4 linked regions of the Notamacropus eugenii genome follow. The protein of the gene in region 1 interacts with the protein of each later gene in a pairwise test. Links are inferred from orthologs where the notes say so. Each region holds a gene or a part of one and is shown in the gene's direction. Other genes may lie near its edges.

Evidence for each region.
Region 2: the proteins of ARL6IP1 (region 1) and SNX11 interact in binary tests that used the Homo sapiens proteins (3 or more experiments, as listed by UniProt). The two-hybrid records come from large-scale screens. The link is inferred for Notamacropus eugenii from reciprocal best matches to the Homo sapiens genes ARL6IP1 and SNX11.
Region 3: the proteins of ARL6IP1 (region 1) and SNX10 interact in binary tests that used the Homo sapiens proteins (3 or more experiments, as listed by UniProt). The two-hybrid records come from large-scale screens. The link is inferred for Notamacropus eugenii from reciprocal best matches to the Homo sapiens genes ARL6IP1 and SNX10.
Region 4: the proteins of ARL6IP1 (region 1) and SNX15 interact in binary tests that used the Homo sapiens proteins (3 or more experiments, as listed by UniProt). The two-hybrid records come from large-scale screens. The link is inferred for Notamacropus eugenii from reciprocal best matches to the Homo sapiens genes ARL6IP1 and SNX15.

What each region holds. Positions count from the first base shown.
Region 1 is NC_092874.1:400,666,882-400,673,889, forward strand, and holds the start of ARL6IP1 (ADP-ribosylation factor-like protein 6-interacting protein 1), read left to right. Parts: upstream 1-3,995; 5' UTR 3,996-4,314; intron 4,315-4,411; exon of another isoform or gene 4,412-4,424; 5' UTR 4,425-4,670; coding exon 4,671-4,706; intron 4,707-6,927; coding exon 6,928-7,008. UniProt on the Homo sapiens protein: Positively regulates SLC1A1/EAAC1-mediated glutamate transport by increasing its affinity for glutamate in a PKC activity-dependent manner.
Region 2 is NC_092873.1:353,054,579-353,062,420, reverse strand, and holds the start of SNX11 (sorting nexin-11), read left to right. Parts: upstream 1-4,821; 5' UTR 4,822-4,939; intron 4,940-7,842. UniProt on the Homo sapiens protein: Phosphoinositide-binding protein involved in protein sorting and membrane trafficking in endosomes. Regulates the levels of TRPV3 by promoting its trafficking from the cell membrane to lysosome for degradation.
Region 3 is NC_092874.1:17,419,938-17,426,868, forward strand, and holds the start of SNX10 (sorting nexin-10), read left to right. Parts: upstream 1-3,913; 5' UTR 3,914-4,321; coding exon 4,322-4,390; intron 4,391-6,931. UniProt on the Homo sapiens protein: Probable phosphoinositide-binding protein involved in protein sorting and membrane trafficking in endosomes. Plays a role in cilium biogenesis through regulation of the transport and the localization of proteins to the cilium.
Region 4 is NC_092873.1:17,764,242-17,771,209, forward strand, and holds the start of SNX15 (sorting nexin-15), read left to right. Parts: upstream 1-3,946; 5' UTR 3,947-4,280; coding exon 4,281-4,550; intron 4,551-5,585; coding exon 5,586-5,621; intron 5,622-5,797; coding exon 5,798-5,918; intron 5,919-6,359; coding exon 6,360-6,475; intron 6,476-6,596; coding exon 6,597-6,753; intron 6,754-6,968. Other genes in the region: ARL2 (ADP-ribosylation factor-like protein 2), read left to right, coding at 1,208-1,272, 1,949-2,059, 2,141-2,303, 3,009-3,089, 3,170-3,304. UniProt on the Homo sapiens protein: May be involved in several stages of intracellular trafficking. Overexpression of SNX15 disrupts the normal trafficking of proteins from the plasma membrane to recycling endosomes or the TGN.

The sequences.
Region 1 (7,008 bases):
CAGTGAAACAACTTTACTATGAGAGCTGGCATCCATACACATTCTAGTAAATTATCCATGTATGACCTCTAACAAAATGGTCCCTTCAACATTTGAGGTAACACCATAAAAACAAGAAATGTTTTGTTTTCAGAAACATTAAACTGTGACTTCAAATATATATTGACATTTACTGCATTTGGTTTGATTTCTTCATGGAATTTATAAATGGCTTTGCAGCTTTAGATTGCTATAAGAATATTCACCAGTATCTTCAAGACATGCACAGTTTAAAGAGATAGTGGCATTGTAGCAGATCAACTAGAGCTGTAGGTTTCATGTTCATAATAAGACAAAGATTAAGCAGCTATGAAGTCATTATTATACTTAGTAATAGACAAAATAGCTATGGAAAACAAGGTGGTTTGGGTTTCTTTTTAATGATTCAGGTTGATGACAACCTCCAAGTAGTTATTTTTCTTTTCTCTCAAAGCTTAGCTATTCTCTGTTATGAATGTTGTTCAAGTCATTGGAATTGCCTGGCCATCTTTGTTTTTTTGTTTTGTTTTGGTTTGAGAAATGTTTGCCTGAAAAAGCTCTGGAGGTGTACTAGTTTGTGAAGTACCTATAGCAGTTTCACTGGTCTATTTAATATATTTGTCCCATTGTGTTCATGATTAGTTCTTATGCAGCTTTCTTGATGGTTAGGTTATTTGGATGACAGTATCAAGAGTCTCATAGTTTTCCTTTCTGTGTGAGACTGAGAGTTTAGGTAGAACTTTGAATCTACTATCACAATCCGTCTTAAATTCTTTATTAGGTTCCAGATGCCAAAGTTTAAGGCTGAAATTTAAGATAAAGTCATCTAGCACTCCAATTAACCCTCTCTCTTCACCTTCTTGTTATACTCTAAATGGTTTTCCAGTGTTGTGACCTGCATTGTAGGAGTTTTCTCCAGTGTTTGGTTGGTCTAATCTGTAAAATGTTAAGGAAAGAGCCATTTAAAATTTCTGATCAGGGCAGTGTGAGTACAGCCAAATATTAGAGTATTAAGTGCAATCTTAAGTCCCCTCTTAAGTTACAGGCAATACTTTAATCCTGAAAAATCTTCCCTCTTCTGTTCTCAGCAATTACTTTTGAAGGTTGCTTATTTGAGTAGCACCCAAACAAAAGGAGCTGGTTCCTTTTCTGTGCTCTTGGCAGTTCTTCCCTCCTTTTAGGACACATAAACTATGATTCAGCCAATTTCTTTAAGCCTAACTGAACTGCTCATTCAAAAGAAAATGGCAAATTATTTACTATTATCACCCTTGAATTTTTTTTTATGTGAAATTAGATGAATGTCAAAATCAGTGACCTTCCATTTCTCACTTGGCTTACATATCAATAAAAGTGAATTAGGATATTTTATTTTCCTTAGACTTTAGAGTTAGGATATTGCTAATATAACATTCAGTGAAAGACTGGCTTATGCTTTGATGTTTCTAGTTAGAACAAAATAGGGTAGCTTATCTAGATATGGTAAAAAAAAAAAAATTTTTTTTGATATGATGGAAAAGAAATTTACCATACTATGAAGTTGTGTGGGTTTTGTTGCACTTTTCCTGCTCCTTATAACCTGTATTGGGAATAGCAACATTTCAACTTCATTAACAAAAAGTGCAGGACACTTGGCCCTGGCCAAGAGAATCTCTCATTTAAAAGGGTAGATTGTAAAACAAGCAGACTGTAGATCAATTGGTTTTCCATACTCAATTGTGTGGGTTTATTAAGGAAAAACTGTTGTACTAATAATGTAAAAATGTAATGCAGTTGTTAGATGTATTTTCAAAAGTGGTAAATAGTAAAGAATTGCATGTTGCTCAGAAATTCAGAGTTGTGGAAAGATGCTTTGTTTTTATTTTTTAAAAAAACAAGCTGATTTAAATATAAGCATATTTTTACAACATTCAAACCTCAGATGTTTTGTTCAGCTCAAGAAGTTATACCCCTTGTCCATTACTATTTTCTGGTGTGAAACACTTTTCTTTTCTCTACCACTTTTAGTGGTAATCACAGTATGTGACATGAATAATTTCTCCATTTACCATTATTGTGAGGGCAAATAATTTAAAATGAATCTTCCTTTTTCCTAACAGAAATGTATAAAAGGAAGTGGCTGCTCTGTACAAAGATTGTATTGCCTCCCCAATGGATGTAATTTTGTGAGTGTATCACACACACCAGCTTCCTAAAAATGTTTATAATGCATCTTTTGAAAAAAAAATTTACAAGCAAACTTTGTGCATACATTGCATCAACATGGCAAAGATTGTATAAAATACCTTTTTCAAGAAATAAAGGTTTAAACTCAACTGGGCTAATGTTAAATTCTGAATTTATTGATCAAAGCAGACTACTAAAAATACTTCTAGCCCTAACCTAAATATTAAAGTCTTCATCGAACTTCCTACAGCTCTATGATGTGTACAATTTGTTTATTACCCCCAACAAAGTTTTCTTAATTCTTAAAATGTTTCAAAGTACATGTTGTATCCAAACTGGATAAAAGAATTATCACTTCAAAAAAATTTCAGTATGGTTGCAAAATTGAAAAACCTTTAAATCAAATACAGGGACGTTGTGGTTTGGAGCCATGGTTCCAATTGCTTCATTTGGAGAATGTTTTTTTTTTAAATCCAACCATACTAGTGTCAAAATAAAGATAATTATAAATTTGCTCAAAAGTTGGATGAGCTTATCAGTTTAATTTGTAAAGTCTGCTGGTAGGTGTGTTTATCCTGTTATGATTTGGTACTTTTCAAAGTAAAAAATGAATACAACCTCTCATCTGTTTATATTACAAAAGCTGAAAAAAGGAGTGGGGAAAGAATCTATAAGTATGAATGTTTATAAGTGAAACATTTAGAGAACTGAAGATCTAATCCATTTTTTTCTGTTTATAATTGGAACATTATTAACACTGTTAACTCTGTAGGGTTTTTTTTCCCCTTTCCTTAAAAAAATTCCAAAACTGCTCATGGGAAACTTCAGTGGTAAAGGTGGGGAAAACTTAGTGGAAAACTCAGACAACCTTACCTATATAACTGTTAGGCTGTGAATATGGAACAAGTGCACAGGAAAGTTCTACAATACAGATCATATTCCATATAGTACCTAAAAATTCTATTATCTTACCATAGGTACTTTACCACCTGACCTAAAGCATTTTTTTTTCCTTAGGGCTGGATTTTCAAAATAAAAATATGTTCCTGCAATTCTGTGGGAGACAGTATTTTTCACATAAATTATTCCCCTTTATCCTCAAGACCTTTTTTGAGGAATTTAACTAGTTGAGGGTATTCCACCTTACCTATTCAACTTCAATACTTCAGTCAGTCTTGAGTTCTTCCCATCCCTCAAAGATATTTTATCATCTAAACTTTTCCTTTCACTCCTTACCCTTCAAAAAACAAAAGAGCTCTTCAGCGTTTCTTTAACATTGAATACCAGTCCTGCTTGGAGTGATCTGTAACCACCATACCGTATATGACTCATCTTGCCTTCAGAAGTAAAGCAACAGTTGAGTCTTTGGGAGATTCTGATGTAAAGCCACAAGAAGTTCACGCTTTAGCTGTCCAGTTTTAAAGGGCATGCCGACTGTTGCTAGGCAGTTTCTAAAATAAAAATGGAAGGGGCAGCCATGTGGCCCAGCGGATGCAGCACTGGGCGTGCAATCGGGGAGACGGGTTCACACACCGGCTTTGCACCTAGCCTGTGGTAACGAGGATGCAACGTTTACAAAGCCCTTTCCAACTCCAAGGCCGCTGCCTAAGTGACCCCGCTGCTTTTAGATCTCTGTCCAGTCAGGCCTTTGGCGCCGCTGGAGACGGCTGTGCGGGCCGAGTGACCCCAGAACGCGGCGGGGGGAGGGGTGGCTCCGGACCAAGCCCAGGAAACGCTGGCACAAGCTCGCTTGTGCGCATCACAGTGGGCGGCGGGCGGGGGTCAGCACGGTAACGTGGTTTGCCCAGGACCACACCGCTGGTGATCTCGGGTCCTCCCGATTGGGACTACTCAGCTGCCCCAGCCGCATAAAACTCAAACACCAGGCCCTCCCCTCCCTAAACGTATGGCCATTCTGTTTTCATTCGTGGACTTCTACAAAATGGGGATGAAATATAATGGGAAAGCTCCCGTCTGCTAAGAGCTGCTGCCAGCTGGAGCGCCTCGTCATTTTACCGAGAAGATGGTCCTAGGAAGAGAAAATTCTGCGCCTGCGTCGCGCTCCACGCGCACGCGCAGACGCGCTCGAATCTCTTCCGTACCTGTGACAGTTGAACCGCTTCCGAACCTGTAATGGGGAGGGGAGGAGAGGGAGGGCTTAGAAGGGATCCAAGGGTTGATTGGCCAACCCACACATCTCCCCGCCCCTCAACCCAGGCCTTTCTTTATATCTTTCTCAGCCTCGTTTTGAAAACATGCACCGATTCGTGGTTGGTTGGTATGAACTTCAGCTTCGCCTGAATTCTACCAATGAGAAGACAGGCTCGCAAGACCTGTCGGGAAAGGGAACCGGCCTATAAAAGGACTTGAGGAGAAAGGCCTTCTCTGTTAAGGATCCTGCGCAAGGTTGTTGGCGTAGCGTTGTTATTTTGTATGTACAGATCCCGAGGCGGTGGCCGGTTATCCTGAGAGGTGCTACAGCGACCATGGCCGAGGGGGACAATCGCAGCACCAACCTGCTGGTGAGTAGCCCGGAAGCCCGTAGCCAACACAGGTCTCAGACCTGCTTCCCCTGGGTTACTTAGGTGCCGCGGCCAATCTGGTAGCCTGGCCGCCCCAGGTCGAGGCTCGCGAGCCGAAGTAGGGTCTTCATCCCTGTCCTCCCGGCTCCGCTGCTAATGCTTAAGTACCGTTGTTTGGGCCTCGAGGGGTTTGGCTGCCTAACGATCCTTCCTGAGTGGAGCCTGCGCGGGGGAGGAGGGAGGGGGGCAGGGGGGGGCAGGACGGGCCGAAGGCCTTGGTCTAGTCGTCGGAAGAAGAGGTGGATGGATAGATGGATGTGAGCAAGACGAAGAAGCGAATCCAACTTGACCCTGCTGTGCTGGAGCTTGGTCAGGCCCTTTACCCTAATCCTCAGTGTTCTCCTCCCCCGCTTCCGCTCCCTTCCGGCGAAAACATCGAGGTGCTGGGCAGAAGTAGAATTTTCCTTGTTTTCGAATGAGTTCATCTGAAGGTGAAGGCTTCTTGCTGCCCAGAATGGGTGGGGAAAGCTGGAATGGACCGGTGACAGCAGATTACTTAACGCGTGATTTTTGGAAGAGCGGCGGAATGCTTGTCATTTGACTGGGATTTGGGTGTCAGACATTCCCGGGCTCTCGGAGCTGGAAAAGGGTCTTCGAGATTATCCGGGCCAACACCTCTTTAGAAATGAGAAATGCTCAGATCTGGCGCTGATGGCTTAGAAAACCTGGGTGTTCTTTCCTCCGTGTGCCCTGGAAGCTCGGTTCATTTAAATGAAAAGTTTGGAGTTTGGCATAGTCATCTCATGGAGGTCATGAAATAGATAAGGCCTGGTAGAATGTTAGGAAGGTAGCAGTTTTAAGATCTAGAGGTAGAAGGGAGCTTCTTAGAGAGCATCGCATTGGCCCCTTCATTTTGCAGGTGAGGAAAATGAATCTCTATAAAGTACAATGACTTGCATGTTTTAAGATAAAGAAATACTAGAGTATTTCTCATATGATTAATTCTAAGGGATTTTTAGAAACAACTGGATTTCACATTAGTTTTTAGACTGCAAACAATTTTTTAGCTGTATTATTCATTTTTCTTATGTTGACCCTGCTACTTCTTCTGTTTTTTGCTTATTCAAGAGCTTCACTTTGAGACAATTTGAGTTCCTCAAATTCTCCCACAAGCTACAAGGAGAGTTGTATTGAGTTTAAGATGGAACATCCCAATTTGATGAAATCAGGCTTCATCTCTTTTATATGTTAATGCAATATATCTCTGTTTCAAGTGATGTTAAAATCTAGTGGTCTCTTGTTACAAGAAAGTTATTTTGAAAATTGAAGGTTGTCTGGAAAATCTTAAAAAATTGAAAGACATCTTAAGAGACCCTCTTAGTCCAAGAAAGATGTAAATCCCTTTTATTAACCTTATTTTATGCGTTTACTAAAATGGTGATTTTTGTTTTGAAAACTACTGGGGCCTGAACCTAGAATTAATAATCCTTTGATAAGGTTACACTAAATAAAAATTTAACCTTTCAACCTAATGACTTTATTAATGTTTTGATGTCTTTTTTCTTTATATCACCTATATTTCCCAGTCCATCCTTTTACCATCTTCCCCCTAGAGAGTGACCTCTTATAACAAAGAAGAAAAAGCAGTTCAACAAAACTAATCAATACATCAGAAATGTCTGACATCATATGCAGTGTACCACACCTAGGTGTCTTCTGTCTTTGGGTCTAAGCTTGGTCGTTATCATTTTACAGTAGTTAGGTTTGCTTGTTTTCTTGTTTTTCTCATGAACATTGGTTGCAGTCATTGTTTACTTTATACCATTCTGCTTATTATTTCCTTTACTTAGAGTTTGTAAGTCTTCTCATGCTTTTATTTATTGATAGCATTTTCATTATTTCTTTTGGCACAGTATTATTTCCTCACATTGATGTGCCACAACTTGTTTAGTCAGTTCCAGTTGATGGAAATAGAATTTATTTTCCACTCTGTGCTTGTACAAAAAAGTTCTGCTATAAATATTTTGGCATGTTGGGGGAGGGGGTCTATCACTGACTTTTAGGTGACCCCTGTAACTTTTTTAAAAATTAGAATTATTGGCTAGTTTCAGCTGAGAATGTGTTATGAACATTGTAGCACCATAAAAGAATTTAGCTTTCAGATAGCCAGGACTACTGTTAAAAATATTGTAATAACTGTTTAAAGTATTTCTTTATGCAGGCTGCAGAAACTGCCAGCCTGGAAGAACAGTTACAAGGATGGGGAGAAGTGACGCTAATAACTGATAAACTCCTTCGGTGG
Region 2 (7,842 bases), on another chromosome or scaffold:
AATGGCCATATGATAAAATTAAAAATAGAAGAAAACTAGATTAGGTACCTATCTCAGGTGGGGCTAGAGGTATAGTTCTTGACCAAACAAGAATGAATTTAAAAGATAAAATGGCTAATTTTGACTACATAAAATTAAAAAGGTTGTGAATAAACAAAATAAATATAATTAGGATAAAGGAAGCTGTCAATTGGGGCAAAAATCTTTGCTTCAAATGTCTCTGATAAGGGTCTGATGTCTAACATTTAAGGGAACTAATATGAATATATAAGACAAAGAGCCATTTCCTCAATGGATGACTGAAAAAAAAAACAACACAGTTCTCATAAGAATAACAAATTATTAATAACCATGTGAAAGACTGCTCCAAATTACTTAAAATTAAAGACATGCAAATCAAAACAATTCAGGTTTCATCACCAGGCACCAAACTGGCAAAGCTGATGTTGGAAAGGCTGCAGAAACACAGGGACACTAATACACTGTTGGTAGAGTGAAAACTTGGTCCAAGCAATCAGTGTGAAATTATGCCAACTGACTAAAATGTCCATACCCTTTGACCCAGAGATTCCTTTTACAGGAGTAGGTTAAAGACAATGGTCTCTCATACACCAAAACATTCATAGCAGTACCTTCCAGGGTAGCCAAAAACAGGAAGAAAAAAAAAAACCCACCCACCAATTAATTGGGAAAAGGCTAAAAACCGAGGTGTATTAATTCAATAGGATAGTATTGTGCCATGAGAAATGGAAAATAATAATTCAGAGAAGCATGGGAAGACCTATATTAACTGATAAAGAGTAAAGAAAAGGAACCAGGAAACAATACACACAAAGACTACACAATGTTAATGGAAGGAATTTTTAAATGATGAAAATGGTTATGTAATTATAATGAACAAGTTTGTCTCCAAATTACTGCATATACTATGACTATTAGTCAGGTGATGTGCTAATTAGTTTTGCTGAACTGTTTTTCTACTCTTTTTTTAATCCTTTGTTACAAGTTACAGTTTCCTCATCTGCAAAAGGAGCTGGAGAAGGAAATGACAAACCACTCCTGCACTTTTGCCAAGAAAACCCCAAATGGGATCACAAAGTATCAGACACAACTGAAACAAATGAACAACAAATACCACACCATTACAGAATAAACACCTATTATCCATTGCCAGATTCAGATTGCTCAAAAAGCTCCAGTACCTCCCTACTTCTTCTGGGTTAAATAAAAACTCATAATTCTGTTTGTTATTTAAAGCCCTTTACAATCTGTCTCCAGACCTTTCTAAGCATATTTCACGTTAGCTGTCTTTACCTATTGTATATTCCAGTGAAATTGTCCTACTTTGCCCTTCCTTCATATGTGATACTCCATCTCAGGTCTATCACAATCTATTTCTATCTCACCTCTTCCTCTCAGAAGTCCTACCTTCCTTCAAAGCTCAGCCTGAAGAGTCCTGTTCTATATATGGCCTTTCCTGATTCCCTAGCTACTAGAGCCCTCATCTCCAAAGACTGTATGGTAGGATAGGTCAGGGACTTTTTTGTTTTTCTTTGTACCCCCAACACCTGGCACAATGCCTAGAATGTAGTAAGTGTTAACAAATGCTTTTAACTAGTGAACGAAACTGCACCTACTGTTCTGAAAATGACATTATATAGCAATCCTCTTTTAAAGGTGTACTTAAGTTCTCTCATTTAGAAAATTCCTTTCTGGTATATTTCAATATCGTTTGTCCAGAAGGGGTTAGAAAAATTCAGGTATCTAACCACAGGTACAAAGACAGAGGAAGAAAAGAGTAGGCACATCTTTTCTTATCAAGAACCTGGCATAGGCTATAGCACTATCCTCCATATCCTCTACTCACTTTTAAAGAAAAACAATTCGGAATATATAAGCTATTGGGAACAAAAATGTCATTATAGGAAAAAAACAAAACCAGAGGCTTCCTTTAACTTCCATATAAATGTCTGGAAGGCTTCTAGGGAGGATCACAGTATCTATCACATGCTTCTACTCACTTTCAGACTTTTCAGACACTCACCTAACTGCAGAGATGACTCTTCATTTGGAGGCAACAGTGAAAATAAAGGGCAGAAATCATTGCCCTTAGGTAGCTTCATCCATCAACATGCATTTGTTAGGCCCCCTGCAGTCACGAAGCTTACATCCCACAGGAGAAACAACATATACACATATAAATAAATGCAAAATATACTTAAGATATAGGAGGGCAGAACATACTACAGGTTAGCAAAGGCAAAAAAAGTAGGAAAGGCCTCTTGTAATAGGTGATGCTGAGCTGAGCTTGGAAGGAAGCTAGGAATTCGAAGAGGCTCAGGTGAGGAGAAACTGCATTCCAGGCATAGGAAACAGCCCCAGCAAAGGCACAGACAGGATGCCTCCTGCTAATATGTGCATACAAACCTAACAGAACTAGAATTTAGTCTTCAGGGTAGGGTTAAAAGAGGTGTAAAGTGGTTCTCAAAGATTTCCCAGGTTTGGCTCCCAAGAACCACCTAAATTTACAAAAAGGGCATAAAGAAAAGGCATCCTCTTCTACACACTTTATCTACCAGGGCAATTCTTTCCAAAGAAGGTAGTTACAAAACCTTAACGTCACCAGCAGCCATTCAGGGCCCAAATTTGTCAGACAAAAGGCTGAACAGAGGAATACAATTCAAGGCCTCAAAGCCCCAGGGTATGGCTCCATTCATGTTTTGGACTATCAGGTAAACCAATACTTAGGCTTTCCCACCAAAGATCGATGGAAAGCAAGGCCACCATCCAGGGATCCAGGGAAAGCAGAAGGGACTTCCCAAAGATCACAGATTTAGGGCTGGAAGAGACTTTAGAGGCCATCGAATACAACTGTATAGACCAGGAAACTGAGACTGAAAAAAGGTTGTGGGACTTGCCCAGGATCAATCAGCTAACATCTAAAGGTGGGATTCAACAACTCCAAGTCTTCCTCACCCTGAAGTCTGACGAAAAACTTGAGCACAAGATCTCCGCTACAATCTTCTGTGGAAAATATCTTGGAATGGGGGAAAGGGGCAACGTCGTAATGAAAAGTTCATTTCACTTTCCTATTGCATTTGCCTTGGAAATGATTCTTCTAATGTAACATGGGTGGAATTTTATTTCAAAATTTCGTTGCTAGTTGCTAGCATGAAGTACATCAAGCAAGAGAACTTCGGGTTCTCAAACTTTTTGCCTTAACGCTTCGTCCATAAGAATTTATTAAGTGAAGCCAGGCACTGCGCTATACGCTCCGGGGACACAAAAGAAAGAGGAAGGGTAAATCTCTACCATCAAGGAGCTCACAGTGGGGGACAACACGAATACACAACCACTTATCTGTCGAGTCAACAAGCAATTATGAAGCGCCTTCCCCTTACCAGGCACAAGAAAAGCTCTCCTGGAGTTCACGTGTAGTGGACAACCTGCAAACCATGTACACACTACAGACTGCATCAGCTGGAGATAATCTACAGTTGGAGATGGGACCTCAATTCCTGGACGTTATTCAAACCTCAAGTCTTTTTCTTAAAAGCATCAACATGCATCAGCTACAAAAAATCAAGTTCCTCCCCACCGGGGCAGAAGAAGGGCGTTCAATGCCACCTATGCCCCACCCCCTTTCCTTTACAGAGTAGCGGGTAATAACAATACCGGCTAAAGTAGCTAAAGCTCCGCCCCTCCTCCCCCACAGCCCCGGGGCCACATTCCTTCTCGCCAGGGGGCCCCTTAACCAAGGACCCCAGAAACTAGGACCAGCGAAGCGCCCCCAGCACGCGCGGGGTCCAACCCACCACACCGGCCGTTTCCGACTCGGGATTCCTGCGCCGCGCGCGCTCCACGAGCCCCGCCCCCTCCCGGGGTCTGCGCGCGGGAAGGGACCGAGGACTGGGGGAGTAGTGGGGGAGGGGGTGGGGGTTGCCTCCCGCGCGCCGGGTTCCTAACGGCCCTACTCCCATCGGCCGAGAGCCCTCCCCACCCCCCGGGCCCCCCTCCTCGGTTTCCCAGTGTCACCAGACACATCCTCTCATATACACACTCTCAGACACACAAACACACACACCCCTCCCTCCTTACCTCAGAGCAGCGTCGACTCAACCCGGGGGGAATCGGTGTCGCGCCGCTAGCGCGTCGCAGGAGGCTGGGGACAGCGAGAAGGAGGATGAGCTGTCTAAGCCAGAAAGAGCGGCGGCCGCGGCTAGAGCCTGGTGCCCCTCCTCACCTAAGATAGGCTAAGCGAAGCTCCCCCGGGCCCAGCCAATCGTCCCAGCTCCGCGGAACAAAAGAGCCCCGTACTCAGCTCTGCCCGCCGCGCGCAACGCGCAGGCGCCGCGACCCAACGCGGGGCAGTGTGGAACTTGAAGTCCCTCCCAGACTACAAGCCCCAGGGTACTGCGAGGGAAGGAACGTGGTGACGTCACCCAACGAAGCTCCAAGCTCTGGGTAGCGGCTCCAGGGACTAGTACTGTCTGATTGGATTGTGGCACGTGTAATCAACTCATCTAGCAACAAGCATTTATTAAGCGTCTAGAGACCGGGCAGGTTGCTAGGGATACCGAGAGACAAGTGCAACTGTCCCTTTGCTCGCGACGATCTAGACGTAGAAACACATTCACATATGCCTTTGAACCAGTCTTGTGAATTCAAACGTCTTGGCAGTTCTCTGTAATTTCTATATTAAGATTACTGTAATAAATAATTACAGTACTTATTACAAATTAAGACATATTATACTATTGTAAAGTAAGAGGCATATTTATTAAGATATAAATCTAAACGGTTTGCCTGGAATGTTGGGAGATTAAGCAACTTACCTCGGGGTTCTGAAGTAGAATTTAAACTGACTGAGACCAACTCGCTCCCCACTTACCAACACCGCTTCCTCGTTGTCAAAAATGTATACAAAGTAACGAAAAAGGTAATTAAGTAACCATATTTAGGGCTCAAGGTACTAGCGCTGGATGGGATCGGGAATAGCCTCAAATAGGAGGTGAGGGTTGAGCTGCAACTGAGTTTCAGTTTCCTTTGAATAAAACTAGAAATTCTTTGAGTCTCAGAGTTGAAAAGGGAATTCATTCCTGGGAAAAGGGGGGGAGAACCCGGCGAAGATAAAATGTCCCTGATGAAGAACAAAGAAGTCCAGTTTGGTGGGTGTAGAATTCAAAAGGAGTGCCAGGTGGTAATGTGTAGTAGGTTTGAATTAAAATAGGCTGGAATTTGTAGCGGGAATAGGGTTCCGCGCCTGAAGTCAATTAGGATTTACAGCTCTGCAGTCTAGGCAGGTTGAGAAAGGTGCATTAAATGTTACTGGATAACATTTTTGACTGATAAATCATGGAACTTAAAGCCCATGGAGCATCACAGCTCATCTTTTTTTTTTTTCTTCTGTCCCTCACAAGTATATGTTTTCCACTAGCCTTTCTTCATTTTCTTCCCCCTTCCAAGGCTAACCTGTACTCTTGATCCCTATCTCTTCCCCCATCCCCACCTTGTCTAAGATATTGATCTCTCAATTACTCCTTCTTATACGTTGCTTTCAGTCTGAGATTTATCCAGACTTGTTTTCTGACTTACCCATAAAGTTCCTTCTCCTGACTTTGCTCTGACTGTTCCGGTGGCAAGGAATTCACTGGCTTCTTTCAGAATCCCTGGTTTTCTTTAAGATTTAACTCAAGTTCCACCTTCTATATGAAGCCTTCCCTGATTTCTGCATCAGCTAATATACTCCCTTCCCAAACTACCTTGTAATTATTTTGTATATATGTATATTACATACACAAATATAAATGTCTCCCCATAAGCTTTGTGAGAGCAAGGATTTCATTTTTGTCTTTGCATCCTCAGTATTTAGTATAGTGCAAGGCACATACAGGTGCTTAGTAAGTGCTTGTTAATTAATCAATTCTTCTCAAATCTTCAATCTTTTCATTTTGCTCATTTCCTACTATCAACAAGTATGCATAGATATTCAACTTACTCTTCCCCTCAACCTCCTCTCCCCGCTAAAAAAACCTTAAAAGAACCCCTTCCTTTTGATCCTGCTTTGCCCCTAGGATCTATTATCCTGTTGTCATCTTCTGTTAGTCAGATAATAGGCTTTTAGAGTTGGAAGAAAACTTGTAAATCATCGAATCCAATTTCCCCCCCCCTTTAGAAATCTCTTCCATAAGATACCTGACAGCTTGTCATCCAAGCCTATGCTTGAACAGAAACACCAAATCATAGACTTCCTTCTTCTCCACCCCCAAGTCATCTCTTTCCCCCTTATAAACATCTCCCGTTCCTTCACTCATTCATGTGAGAGACAACATGGTTTCTTGGCAAAAATATTGAACCAAGTCAGGAAAATGGGCAATTCTATCCTTTTCTTTTATGATCTGTGCTGATATGGCAGAAGCAGTGACCTTTCAGTCAGACCCTTCCTTTGTCCCACATCCAGGGGGAGTTTATCAACTCACCTTTAGAACAGATGTGCACCTAAGGGTTGAATGGAGCGTAAGTAAATCATCCTTCATCTCCACCCTCTATAACCAGCCAAGCCTCATCTTATCCAACTATCCTGCCTCCAGCCCTGGACCAGAACACCAGGGTCACAGCAGCATATGTGTCTTATCATGTGCTCTTGCTGTACTTTTTGCTCTAGGAATCATAATCAAATCAGCCACACCACTGAAACACCCTTTCCAGTAGTAGTAGACATATCCTATAACTTTACTCAGAATCTCCATAATTGAGAGTCCAGGCTGCCTAGCTTACATGGTAAGCTCCCTGCTTATATGACAGGAAGAGGGGCAGCAGGATCAAGAGAAGGAGTGGTGGGGTTTTTTGGCAGGATGACTGGAGGGAAGGTTTGTGATAAATCAATCCATAATCATTACAAAATTTTTTAAAATTACAATTGACAAGAATTCATTTTTTTCTCACTTTCATCTCCACCCTAATGGAAAAAAAAAAGACAAAATCCTTGTAACAAATACGCGAAACAAATTCTTACATTAACTGTTGGGGGACAGCTCTGGACCAGGGTCCCCTGTGAGGACCGTGAGACGCCTGAGGGTCCAAACCTGCCCCCTTGTGGGGTACTGGGATGGCCCTGGTAACAGGCTGACTCCACCCGCGGGGAGGCACTTGGGAGGAGCTCGCCCGCCCATGGGAGGTACGGGGGAGGAGACAGGGATAATAAAAGGGGATGATCACAAGGGCTTAGAAGGAGAAGGAGAAGGGGAAGAAATGCAATAAAGCTTGCTGACTGCAACTCCTTTCGGGTGCTCTGCCTGTTTATTGCCCTCCCCCAACCGGGAGAGGGGCCGGAGACGTCCGAAGACCGGGGATCGGTAAGTGGAGAGGCGAAGGCCCAGGAGTAGACCCCGGGCAATTAACCATGTCCCAAAATATTTATCTTATTCTGCATCTGAGTGTATCCCCTCTCTGTCAGATGGTGGGTGACATGATTCATCATTGTGCCTCAGGAAGTATGATTGGTCCTTATATTGCTCAGAGTTCTTAAGTATTTCAAAGTTGTTTGTCTTAACTGTGTGGTCATTGTATACGCTCTTCTGGTTCTGCTCACCTGACTCCATCTATTCATATAAGTCTTCTCCAATTTCTCCGAAGCTACCTTCTTCATCATTTCTTCTAGCATAAGAAGTGTCAGTGGGGACAGAGAATAGGATTGGTAAGGATGAAAGAAGAAGAAAAGAGGAATGTTAGAGTTATGGACCATTACATTCCTATACCATAATTTGTTTATCTACTCCCCATTTAATTTATTGTTGAATTTAATGATGGGTACCCATAAATTTCCAGTTCTTTGTTAACACA
Region 3 (6,931 bases), about 380 Mb from region 1:
CCAGCTCTTATTCCTGCCTGGGCTTCCGTTTCCTTGCCTGTAAAAAAAGGCTGGATTGGACCAGTGGGGATACTTGCTAGCATTTATATAATGACTTAAAATTAGCAATATTAATGTAACATAATATTATTTTCTTAGATTCTCAACAATCCTGTGGGGTGAGTGCTTTAGTATCGCCACTTTACAGATAAGGAAATTGAAGCCAATTCTCTGGGGTTATGAGTAAGTTTCTAAGATAGGACTTGGAATCAGGAAGTCCTGAGTTCAAATCCAGAACTCTACAATGCCTCCCAGAGGCCCCTCCCAACTCCAAATCCTTCTGTGCTCAACGAGGAACCTCGTGGTAACTAAACACTTCTGGCTTCCCATAATGCAGCTCTTTGGTGCTGCTTCCCCATAAAAACTGCCAAGAGCCCCCTCCTTGCTGGTTTTAAATCCTCTTAAATGTCTACTTCTCCAAATTACATCTTCCATTCTTAATACCAATTTGCGTGTATGGGTGAAGTCCCCAGAGAGCAGCTGCAATGGGGAGTCACCTCACCATTTGCGAAGTTTTCTTAGAGCCTAAAATAGGAGAGAGATTTTTCCCACCTACTGGCCCATGCCTCCATTTCAGTCCAGATGCTGGCGGGGCGAGCAAGGTCTGGGTGGGAGCTGTTGTGTCTGCTGGAGAATGGGCTGCAGGCTGGAGGCGGCTTGGCCTAAAGCATTTCTGTATTCTCCCCCTCTCCTCCATTCAGGCTGAAGTTAGCCCGCTCTTCTCTCCAGGGTCCTGGTGCCCTGGGAGGAAGACCCTTGGGTCATCCACTGGGCAGTACCAGGCTGGAAATTTAGCCCTTTCATTTCCTCTATGGAGGATGGGTGCAGGGGACCCGCTGCAGCTTGCCTTGGTAAAACAACTTTATTGCCTTAATAAATCTAGGGAGAGGAGTGAAAGGATAGGCCAGAGCCCCTCCCCCCCCAAGATTGGTTCTCCTCCCCTCCCACCGAGAACAACGGTGTGGGGGTGATGAGCCTCCCATTAATGGGCCTTGGCTGAGGGCCCCAGTCAGATGAGAATGCATTCAGCCTCATCCAGGCGTGAAGCTTTAATTTACAATTAAAATATTATGGGCACATATTTTAATAAAGATGATTCATAGCACCAGACTGAATCTACACTCCCAGTGATAGAGATGCAGCCAAGAATCTGAAGAGGGGCGGAGCAGGTATCTGGGTGGCAGAGAAGCTTTGATGGAGGCTTTTGTGCAGAAGGGGAGTTCTAATCTATGACCCAGGGTTGGGGAGGAGCAGCTTGAGCTTCTCTGTTTTTCTCAGGAGCCTGGGGGCTGCTATGAAGAAGGCGTTAGACTCAGTTGTTTCTCCAGGACAATTGCTTTATCTACTTATTCTTTTCAGGGCTTTAGTTATTGTATTATTTTTTCTGTGATTTCCTTGATAAGGAGGCTCCCTCTACTATGATAATGATAGTAGCTAACATTGCTAAAGCACCTACTATGTGCCAGACACTGTTCTAGGAGTTTTACGAGTACTATGTCATTTGACCTTCACAATAACCCTGAGAGGTAGTTGCTATTATTATCCATATTTTACAGAGGAGGAAACCGAGGCAGGCAGAGGTTAACTGTCTTGCCCAAGGTCACATGCTAGGAAGTATCTGAGGCTGGATTTGAACTCAGGGTTTCCTGACTCCAGGCCACTGGGCCACCTGGCTGCCACAAACATTGCTGATCAGAAAAGAGGACTACAGCACTCTGGGGAGCTATGGGTGGGAGGGAGAAATGAAGAGAATAGTTTTGCCTTAAATACTATGCCTTCATCAGTAATTGATGTCTAAGTGTCACCATGAATACATCGATTACTTTGGGGATAAGGTGGTTTCTGCATTGGGATAAAGTGAGGTATGCATTGAGGCATTCACCATCATTCACACTTTAGTCTAAATTTAGCTGGATCCTTTCCATGTGAATCTGAATGCAGGCTCAGTTTGGGGGAAGACAAGCAGGCTAAGGGAGGAAGGAAGAGGCATGGAATCTGGGGCAACAGAGGTTTCCAAGTGGTGGGCAAGACTTAGTGAAGGCTGCTGTCCCCGGGACTATTTGTGATTCTTAAGCATCATATTTTAGTCCTGATTGGACTGACAATCTAGAATTTGGGCAGAAGAGGAAATGTAATAAACGGGGGCATGAAAGCTTTTGAGGAGTATCTGAAGGGCCATCATGTGGAAGCAGATCAGTAGTGTTCTGTTGAATCCCACAAGGCAGAACTGAGAGCAGTGGGTGGAAATTACAGAAAGGCAACGTTTGGCCCAATTGAAGGGAAAACTTCCTAACATTTTGAGTTTTCTAATTAACTAGGACAGGTAGTGAGTTCCTTGTCCCTGGAGGTCTTCAAGCAAAGAGGAGGTTGTAGAGGGGGTGGGACTGGGCTCCTGTTCAGTTCTGGATTGGCCTTGATGCCCTCTAAGATTGTGTAATTTTGTGCCAACATGAAGCAAATGTGAGGGCCTGTTAGGTGGTGCTTCCTGGCAGACAGCCAGCCTGGAACCTCTGAGTAAGGAAACCACGTAGGAGCTTTCCAAGACACAAGGTTTCCTTTCCTTCCATCCAATGCCTCATGATACTGAGGATCCTAAAGGGCAATGAGCAGAGTTCTTCCATCCTCTGTGCTTCATTCCCACAGTTTCTGCCCTTTTTCCCATCCTCATTACCAAATCATTTTTCCCATTTGAGAATTTGTTTGTTTAGCGGATAGACTTTACCTAGGTAGAAAAATAAAGCCAGCTCCAACCCAGCATTTCACAGAAAAGTACCAGACTTGGAAGAATATCAGGATCATCGAGAGGGGCATTTTGGTTTGTTCCTAGAGTTTTTAAATTAGGAGCTTAACAAGGGTCAGCAAAAGCCCCAGGACTCCAGTGGGTGCGTGGTCTCATTGTCTGCCCATCACCGTCCCCTGGCTGCAGCTCTGGTCCAGGATCAACGATGTCACATTTGGTCATTGAAATTTCATAGCGTCAGTTTCAGTTTTGAGGTGGGGTGGTTCTTTCTGTTTCCATTGTTGTGGGTAGTATGTCTTTTTCCTCCCCCCTGCCCCCCGCATTAGTTCGTATAAATCTTCTTATGCGTCTTAGTAATCATTTCTTACAGCTCAGGCATATTTCTTAGAGCTTGGTTAGCCATCCTCTAGTTCTTGGGCATGTGTTTTCTTTCCAGTTATACTGTCCCTGGACTACCCTGAATGTTAGCGGGTCCCACCAAAGTGCTGGGAGCCTTCCTGTTGTTCTGCAGATATGGTGGATGCAGGCGGAACACATGAACTGGCCATCAGTTCTCCCTCTCTCCCTCCTTCTCTCTACCTGGTTAGTCTATTTTCTTTGCTTCCCTCATTCATTCCTTCAATGGCATTCTTTGCCCCTCTTCTCATTCATTCATTCATTTATTCAGTAAACATTTATTAAGCTCCTACTGTGTGCTAGGCGCTTTGCCAAGGAATACAAAAAGAGGCAAAAGACAGCCCCCGACCTCAAGAAGCTTCCTTAACTATCATGCATTTCAGGGTGGTCGTCATGCTCTTCTCCATTGTTTTTGGTTTTTTTGGGGTGAACCTCAACTTTAATTCTTTGGGATTCCATTTCTCCTGGTCATAGCCATAAAGAAGATTGGTATGTAAAAAGATGGGCCTGTGTCCCAGGGAGAACTTGGGGTCATTAAAAGGTGGCAGCTTCCCCAAAGCAATCCAGCTGGACCTCCCCTCCCCTCCTGGGTCCATCTCCCGCCTCTGTCCAATTATATCAGTCAGGAAGTGTTATTAAGCATGTGCCAGGTGCTGGAAATACAAAGACCACAGTGACAACTTTCACTTATTATAGGTGTTTTCCCCAAGTATATTGGGGGAAAGCCCCTGGTCTCTGGAGGGGACTGTGGAGAGCCTCTTGGAGAACAGCTTGCTTTATTTTCAAGCCTCCCCCTTTAGAAGGTGAGCTCCTTGAGGGCAGGGGCTGTGTTTTGCCTGTTTTTGTATGCCTAGCACTTGGCAAAGCTCCTAACACATAGTAGGTGTTTAATAATATTTATGGATTCATTATTCATTTGAGCTGAGCCTAGAAAGGATTCCAATGGGCCGAGGTGAGAAGGGAGAGCACCCCTCTGTGGAAATCACATGTGCCTGAAGCATTTTATTGCATTAGACAGCCATTTCTTTTGCCTATTTTGGTGAACTTCCTTCTTAATAACTATTTCTAAGCACCTTTAAAATGAATCTTAATTATATAAGAAAAGTCATTAAAATGTTCATACTTTTTGCCCCATAGAGTTCCCTAATGAATGTATTCCCCAAGGAGGAAAATGATAGAAAGGAAGGTTCCATCTATAATGAAATATTCATTGTGGTGAACTTTGTGGTTTCAGAAAAAAACAAAACCCAACTGCAAACACAATTGTTGCCTGGGGACTTAGGTGTGGTTGAGCCTGTACCTGGCTTAGTGCCTTTACACTGGGGGAAGGGGTAACCCCTTGCAGAGAAGAGCAGGAGCCCCAAAACAGATGAGGGAGGGAGAAAAACTGGCCAGAAAATGCTGGGTGGAGAGAATGGGTACCGGTATTTCCTGCAGAATAAAAGGGGCATGTAATAGGTGCTTGACTTGATGGACGTGATGAGGGATCCCAGCGGTGCAGAAGAAGGGCACTGGATTTGAAGGGAGATGATGTGGGTTCGAATCCTTGCTTTGCTGCTTGCTTACTTGTGTGACCTTGGCAAGGCACAACCTCTACAGGGCTCAGTTTCTCTATCTGTAAAATGAAGTGACTGGCCAGGATGCTCTCTGGGATCCTCCCTTCTATCTGTAGGAGACTTGTATTGTTTCTGTCTCTAGCAGTGGCACATAGTAAGTATTTAATGTTTGTTAAGTAGTGCTTGTTGGCTGACTGAATTCTATGAAAATTACTTTGTTATAAAAAAGGATGAGGGGCCAGCACAGAGTAGAGCATGGAGAGTTGGCCTCAGGGTCAGGAAGCTCTGGATTCAAGTTATAGAGTCATAGAGTCAACAAACATTTTATTATTAATAACAATAATCATAAATAAACAATATAATTGTTATTAAATTTTTTATTAAGTGCTTACTGTATGCCAGGCTGTGTAGCCCCTTAGGGACCTAGGCAGCTTTCTAGACTTTTACATTTCAGAGCAGGTACAACTCTGCATTGGTAAAGGGAATTTCTTCACCTGGAGTTCCCTACACTAAAGAAATCTCAGGCCTAGACAAAAAGAGGAAGAAGAAGAATTCAGAGAACCGTGGGAAAACTTGCATTGAGTAATGGAGAATGAAGAAAGCAGAGCTAGGGAAATAAGGAATACAATGACTGCCATTGAGCAAAAACAGCTCTACTGACCTTGGTCCTGGAAATCTGATAAGAAAGGTAGTGAGCTTGTCTCCTCCACCTCAAGGTGGGGAGCTAGGGAAGTGGAATACAGTATCCATGAGGTGACCCAGACACTGTACTGCTTGGCTTCACTAAAAGAGGGGAGGCTTCAATCAGGGGAGGCAGATGGAGACATAAAAAGGCATAAAATCCAAGATTGACAATGGAGCATTTAAAAACAATGAATCTTGAGTAGTTACTGCTTTTTGGCAGCCTGTCATTTCTGTGCTTCCTTGTGTTGGTAGCTTAGGGTTTCAGTTCCACAGTCTCTCCCTACTTCCCTCCTGTCCCATATGGCTCTGAATCTGTTTCCTTCCCTAAATTCAACTGGTCAAAGGGAACCAATGCAGAATTTCTCTCAGTGGCAAATTTAAGTTCCTACTTACTGACCAATAAAGGACACCTATTGGGCCCAGTGCATCTTCTGTTTCCTCCTGTGGAAGGAAAACCTGAGCTTACTATAAGAGCTAGATTCTGTTTTGGAGGCAGAATTCTATTTGGGAGTGAAAGGAACAGGGTCCTTGATATTCAGGAGTGGGAGAAGCTCATTTGAGATAGCCTTGTCATGGGAAGATAGAGTAGATTAAAAATGCAGAATAAAAGGGAGAGGAGGGAGTGAGGATGAAACAAAACCAATTTCTGCCTGTCTGGTCAAAGATGTGAATCTTGTCTAGACCTTTGTCATGTCTAGGAAAGCGACTCTCCTGTCCCTCTAACTGCTCTTGTGCTCACCCTTATGACAATCTCAGGAAATAAGTCTTTTTTTTTCCAACAGAGCTGGCATTTGTATAGCATTTTAAGCCTTGCAGAGTGTTTTACATAGGTTAATGCTTAAATACTGTTATTATACCCATTTTATGGATGAGAAAACTGAGGATGAGTTTAATTGATTTGCATAGGGTCACAGAGAATAAATGTTTGGGGTGAGATTTGAATTTTTGTCTTTCTGACTCCAAATCCAGCCCTCTAGCCACTATCTCATGAGAGAGCCTGGCTATGGTACTGGCATGGCCTCTGCCCAAGGATGGAGAAATGTTTTCGCTCCTATGCTGATCAGCAGTGCAGGTAGTGGAATGTCACCGCTAAGGTCTTATCTGTTAGGGTCCTGTCACCCTGGTGCCATTAACCCAGGCTTGAGCTCCCCCCATTCCCAGTAGCCATCCCCAGTAGCCACCCATGAGCTGCGTTCTCTGAGAACTGACCATCCTCTCTCCTAGAGGGAGCATCTGGGATTAGTCTGCTCTCTATGGCTCCAGCTTCTATCCAAATTGGCCCTAGGCACCAGAACTCCTAGTTTCAGGGCCACAAAAACTGTGTTTTATTGCAAAGGTGACAGGTTGGAGGCATTGAGAACATGCAGCCATGATTCTTTAAGAAGAACCAGATAAAAGGCCATGCTATGGTAGGAGAAGCCTGGAGTATGGGGCAGAGACTTGGGTTTGAATTTTGGCTCAGTTGCTTCCTTACTGTCTGGCCTCAAACAAATCCCTTGATCTCACTGGGCTTGCC
Region 4 (6,968 bases), on another chromosome or scaffold:
AGACACCCTGACCTGGACAGGCCTTTGGAGCTGGCAGAGCCCAAGTTACAGCCCAAGAGATCTGGGTTTTTCCTTATCGCTAAGATGCCAGCAGGGTTTGGTAAGGGGGTCCCCAAAAGGTGTCCTCTAGGTTAAACAAAGGACCACTAGGTCCAGGCTCTTCTTAATCCAAACTATAACAATCTAAAGGTTATAACAAAGGGTTATCAAGCTCTGGCCTTTACTGCCCAAAACCCTCCCAGGCTCTAGACCAGACCCAAAGCAGGGGGGCTGGGGGAACCCTGCAGGAGAGTCTTCAAATGGATGCAGGGGCAGCTGCGCGGGGGGCGGGGCTGTCCCGCCCAGCACTGGTAGTGGGGGGCCCGGGGTGCAGAGGGCTACCCCCCTCTGTCTCTACACCTTCCTCCCTCCGCAGTCAGGGACCCCGGCCTCTCCTGGCTCTGGGCAGCCTCCCCGGCCGACCCCTGCCCCCCGACTTCCTGCTAGCCCCAGCTGAAACCCCACTTTCTACAGGGGACCCTCCCCAGCGCCTCCCTCCGTGAGCGCCTCCCCATCTACCCTGCCTCCAGCCTGCTTTGTAGGCACCAGCGGGCACGTGGTCTCCGCATCAGATGGTAAGCGCCTCCAGGGCAGGCACCTGCCGGGCCTTAGGTATGCCCGCTGCTTTAGTTCTCCGCAAACCGCGGGCACTAAATAAGGAGGGCTTGACCCGACACGGCCTTCTGGGAAATGGAGTCCAAAGACTCTCCCGGCGCCTCATGGGAAGTGAAGTCTTTGTTCATTTCCTTCTCCCAAGATCCAGGGGTAGAGGTGGGAGGGAAGCCCATCCGCCGGACCTCGAGGACTAGGCTGACCCCGCTCAGGGGAGGGCCTGCCCTTGAACCCAGCTCTGTGTCCAGCCCCCTTCCACAAGTAGAGGGGTGCGATGTGAATCGGGATGCACCTCTTCGCGGCGCCCTCCCGTCCCGGGCCGGCACACCAGGGGTTAAGCGGCGGGGGCGGGCCAGTTTGGGCCCAGCCGCCCCCGTAGCCCCGCCCCCGCCCAGCAGGGCGGTGCCTTCTCCTGCCGCCGGCTCCGGCGAGAAGGGGCGGGCTCAAACAAGGGCCGAGCCAATCGGGTTCCGGTGAGGCGCGCTCTAGCCAATGAGAGGGGGGAGCGGGGTCCCGGACTAGGAAGGCGCAGCGGCGGGGAGGGGAGGCTGGGACCATGGGGCTCCTGACCATCCTGAAGAAGATGAAGCAGAAGGAGCGGGAGTTGCGGCTCCTCATGCTGTATCCTCGAGCTCCCCGAACCCTTGGGTGGCCGGGGGCCAGGGAAAGGCGCGGGCGGGCGCTACCACGCGCTCCCCCGGGGTGGGGGGAGGGAGGACGCGCCGCTCTGGGCAGGATCGTACCAACTACCCTGCGCGGGTTACGTAAGCCGGGATCGACCAATAGCCCTAGGAGGCGGTGGGTTGGGAGTTGGTCCGTACCATCCGGGACAAAAACGGGGGAGTGCAGGCTGTAGGGACTGCCCCCACGCAGAGGGGGGTGCGGCTAGAAAAGTGGAATGGGCCAACTACCCCGGGGGCATGGAAGGGAGCTCGCGTGCACTGGCGGGGAGGCGGGAGATGGAGGGTCCGGGATTTGGGCTAGACCCTAGCAGACTGGATCTCGGGAGTCCCCGGAGCACAAGTCCAGCTCGTTGCCTCCTTGTGTGTCCCAGGCACACAGTAGGAGCCTCATGAATGCATGTTGCCTTCCCTCTCATAGGGAGCTTCACTTTGTGCTAGGCTAGTTCTTCGAGGGCAGGGCCCGAGCGGGTTTCTTACTGTTCATCTTGGTGCCCCTAGTGCCAGGCACACAGTAGGTGCGCACCTAGTTTGTGGAAGGATCGAGGTGACCTTGGGCAAGTCACTTCCCTCCCTTGGGAGGTCCTGCCTCCGAGGCTCCTTAACTGCCGCCCCAGCGGTCTGGACAACGCAGGCAAGACCACCATCCTAAAGAAGTTCAACGGGGAGGACATCGACACCATCTCGCCCACCCTGGGCTTCAACATCAAGACCCTGGAGCACCGAGGGTGAGGGACGCCCCTCCCCAGGAGCTGGGCGCACAGCGCGGGCCGGCCGCGCCCATCCACCCTCTCTCCCTTCCTCCTCAGGTTCAAGCTGAACATCTGGGACGTGGGAGGCCAGAAGTCCCTCCGCTCCTACTGGCGCAACTACTTTGAGAGCACAGACGGCCTCATCTGGGTGGTGGACAGTGCTGACCAGCAGCGCATGGAGGACTGCCGCCGGGAGCTGGAGAGCCTCCTCGTGGAAGAGGTGCGCCAGCCTGGGGGCTGTCAAGTGGGAGGAGTCTGAGGAGGAAGGCCCTGCCTTCTCACTTACCAGAAAGGGACACTGAGGCACAGGGAAGAAGGAGCTCCTGTCTTTGGATCTCCACCACATGACAGAATGCCTAGCTCATTGTAGGGGCTTAATAAATGCTTGCTTGGTTGAAAAAAAGATCACAGGTCCACATTAACTTGAATCAGCATACATTCGTTTCCTGCTGTTTACCAGATACTGCGCTAGGCAGCAGAGATTAGCAAAGATATGAGAAAGTCCTCAGAGAGGACTGGTCTAGTGGAGGGTAAGACAAGTGCAGAGGCAGAACAGGAAGTAAGCGTTGTAAGATGAGGTTATGGAGTGAGGAGGGCAGATGGCCAGAAATGGAAGAGAATGAATTGGGGGGGGGGGGGTGCAGGGAGTCACATGACAAAGCTGGAGAAGTAGGTGGGGACTGGGATGCCAGGCAGCCCAAGACTGGGCGAGATGCCCAGTCCAGCTCTTTGCTCAAAGACCAGGCAGCTGTTTCCTGTGGACTTTTCTTGTCATCGTATCTCACTGACAAGCGCCCACAACCCCATTCACGTCCCTTTCCCTAATGCTGCCCTGGGAGTGGTGCTCACAGTGGCTCATAGGCTGGCTAGCTCAGAGCTCCCAGGTTCCTTCCTGGCCCTACCACCACCTTTCTTTCCCTCTTAGCGCCTGGCTGGAGCCACTCTCCTGATCTTTGCCAACAAGCAGGACCTCCCTGGGGCTCTCTCATCTAATGACATTCGAGAGGTGAGTTGAGGCCTCCAGGTGGCTGGATGGGATGGAGGGTTGGGAGGGCTGCTGTCTGAGAGTCACTCTCCCTCCTTCAGATCCTGGAGTTAAATGCCATCCGCAGTCACCACTGGTGCATCCAGGGCTGCAGTGCAGTGACGGGGGAAAACCTGCTTTTGGGGGTTGACTGGCTCCTGGATGACATCTCCAGCCGAATCTTCACTTCAGAATGACCCCTCCCCTCCTTGCCCTGGGTCACCGGTTCCTGGACTGACCCCTCGACCCAGCTGAAGGGCAGCCCCTCCACACATCTCCAGCTCCCACAAACCATCCCTCTGTCCTGCTTCTCTCTGATCCAGGGCCCCCCAGGGAGCCAGGACTGGGGGGGGGAGGAACGGAAGCCCAAGGGACCCCAACTAATGCCTCCTCCCTGTCATAACCAGATGCTGCTTGTGCTATTTAACAGGAGAGACCCTGCTGCTCTGTTGGAGAGCCTTCCTCCCTGGGGAGGAGTGGCCCCCATTCCCTATTTCTGTCCCTCCTGCAGCTCTCTGTCTGTGGATTGGGGGAGACTCCGGGAGGGCCCCTTCCTCCGATCAGCTGTGGGAATAAAGTCCTCTGTGCCCCTCGCTCCTGGCTGCTCTTCTTCCTCCCAGGCTCCTCTGCTGTCAAGGGAGCTTCCACACTCCCTCCCCATGCTCCCAAAGAGAAGGGTGGCCCACTCTGCCAGCAGTTGAGGGAGGGCAGGAAAGGCCAAGTCCAGAAGGCAGCTCTAGAACTGTCTGGTGTGGATGAGGACCTGGAAGAAGCTGGGCCTGCCCCGCCACCCTCCAGGCCCCTGGCCTTGGCCCAGCTCGCAGTAAACCAGTGGCCTAAAGTGATCTGGTTCTCAGTGGCCCTTGAAGTGTTGGGGGAGTGGGCTTGGAGGGGGGTGAGGGCCTCAGCGGCCCCACCAGGGGACTCATCAGTGCCAGCCTGACGTCTTCCGCCGTCCGGGGCCTCAGTTTCCCCACGTGGGAGTGGGCTGGGTTTTCCCTGAAGTCTATCTCAGGGCCTGATATGCAGTAGGTGCTTAATGAATGCCTGTTGCCTGGAGTCCAGGGCACCGATGGCCTTCCCCAGGCGCCAGGGGGCGGCCTTTCCTACGGAGTAGCTCATTCTACGCCTTTCCAAAGAACAAAGAGTTTTAGGACCGTCCCTGCGTGCACCATGGAGGGGCATAGGAGTCAGGAAGAGAGGCCAAGGAGAGCCTTGCGCAGGCGCAGAAGAGGCGGTGCCCGTCGGAGGCTGGACGGGAGGGGAGGGGAGGGGACAGCGTGGAAGAGGAGGCCCGTGGCCAGGCCGAGGCGCCGGAGTCCTGCGGACTCCGGCTCCTCGAGGATGTCCCTCAAGGCTAAGGACGACTACCGGCGGCTGTACACAGTGTCGGACACGCGGACCCATCCCAAGGGCTACACGGAGTACAAAGTGACGGCGCAGGTGAGTGACCGCAAAGCCCCTTTAAGAGGAGGAGGAGAAGAAGAAGAAGAAGAAGAAGAAGCCCCTTTAAGTAGGCGGGGCCGGACCGTTCCATCCTCGAGAGTCAGGCAGGGGTGGAGCCCCTGAGCGAATTTAGGACTATACTAATTTACGGGGGAGGGAGGGAAGACTAATCTGGGTTCCTTTAACGGAGACGCAAGGGGCGGGGCCAGCATGGGCGGGGCCAGCATGGGCGGGGCCTAGCTGCAGAGTTGTTTGGCTGGGGTTACCTCCACCTTGCGCAAACAGGTTAATAAAGAGCTGGGAGCTGCTGCCTCCCTTCGCGAAATGACCCCCGTTGCGGCCCGGAACACACCGGGGGCGGCTGGGGAGGGCGGGGCGCGTTGGGGAAGCCTCAGCTTCCTCCTCTGTGAGGCGGGCACCCCCTCCCAGGGTGGCTGAGGCAGCCGAGGTCGCAGGCGGTGAAAGCACCCCCGGAGGTCCGAGCCCCGCTTAGCGTCCCCGGCGCTTAGTAGGACTTGAGCAGCGCCGCTTCCTGGCCGGCTTCTCCTCCGCTCACTAAGTCATTAATGGCGTCGGCTGGGGGGTTTTCTCCCCAAAACCTCCTGTGCTAGGGCCCCCGGGGCCCCACGCACCTGTCCCGCTCAGTGCCCTGGGGGCGATCGCCGAGCCCCACCCCCTCCCTGGGAGGCTGCTGCTCCCTTGCCCAAGAGGATCTGAGTCTGGGGGCCCTCCGCGACCTACACGTTTTCCCATTTGGGGGGGAGGAATGCTGTCATCCCCATTTGCAGTGGAGGTCAGATGATCTGCCCAGGGTCACCCAGTTGGCACCTCAGACTGGATTAGAATTCAGGTCTTCCTCCATCTAGGATCCACTCCCCTCCCCCACCAAATGGCCTCTTCTCCCCAGTTATTGTGGAGGCAAGGGTGGCCTTGTCCTCTGATGTGGGGGGGTCTTGGGGGGCTGAGCCTGGGGCAGGGCTGGGGGGCCAAGCGGGTTAGCCCCTCACTGGCCCTGGCTTTCTTCTTCCTCAGTTCATCTCCAAGACGAACCAAGAGGATGTCAAGGAGGTGACTGTTGGGGTGGGTGGGGGGCGGGTACCCTTGTCTCCTGCAGGCAGCCCAGGGTGGGGCGGGGGGTGGAACGGCCAACTGCCCGGATCCAGTCCAGTCCCCTCTGGGCCTCAGTTTCCCTGAGTGCAAAAGGAGGGAGCCAGACGGTGGCTTTGCGTCCCGCTCGGGCCCAGGTGGTCATCTGGAAACGCTACAGCGACTTCCGCCGCCTGCATGGGGACCTGGCCTACACCCACCGAAACCTCTTCCGCCGCCTGGAGGAATTCCCAACCTTTCCCCGGGCACAGGTCTTTGGTGAGTGTCCGAGGCCGGGCCAGCCCTCAGTCGTCCAGCCTCCACAGTTGTCTGGCCCCAGCAGCTGTCCAGCCCTCAGACATCCAGCCTCAGTGGCTGCTTTGTCCAAAACTGTCCTGGACCACAGGGCCTGGGGGTGGGCAGTGGGGAGCACTGGCCCAGACTGCGTTGGCCACCCCATGCTGGGTTGTGACCCCCAGCCAGAAGTGGACTCTGCCCACCTCCCCCAGGGCAGCTTTGGCCTAGCCTCCACACTAATCATGGGATGGGGCTGTGTCATAGTCAACGGAGAAACACAAGTTTTGATCCAGAACAGAAGAGCGTTGGTGGGTGGTTTGTTTGGTGGGGGCCTGATGGTGTGCCGGTGTAGGCCCCCCAGCCTAGCCACTGCCAGGGGGAGGGGAAGGAGGCCTAACGGCTCTGGCGTGTCCTTGACCACAGGCCGATTCGAAGCCTCAGTGATTGAGGAGCGGCGGAAGGCGGCGGAGGCCATGCTGCGCTTCACTGTCAACATTCCTGCCCTCAACAACAGCCCACAGCTCAAGGAATTCTTCCGTGTACGTGCCTCCCCCTCCCTGGGAGCCATCTGGTGCCCATCACTCCTGCCTTGGTCTTCCCCTTGGGTGGATTCAGGGATCTCTGAGCACTGCTCCTGGATCCAAACTCAGTCCTTTGTAGGGTGGGGACGTGACCCGGCCCTTAGAGCCCAGTGACCTGCACATCCTCCCGCCACCCCTGGTGCCCACATCGCCCTCGGAAGATGCCCACCTCCCCCAGCCTCTGCCAGCGGAGCGGCTGGGCCGGGAAGAGCCTGAGGACGAGAATGAAAGGCCAGGTACTGAGGCAGGGAAAAGCTGAACTCAGGTCTGCAGGTGCTCAGCAGACACGTAGCAAGGGCTGCCCTTCCCCAATACCCCCATTTCTGATAAGTGCACCCCACTGGGGGATAGCCTGGAGTGGGCCAGTCACCTGACTGCTCAGGGCCTTGGTTTCTAGATTTGTAAGATGAGAAGGTTAGACTGGACCAAAGGCCTCAAAGTCTTGTGGCTG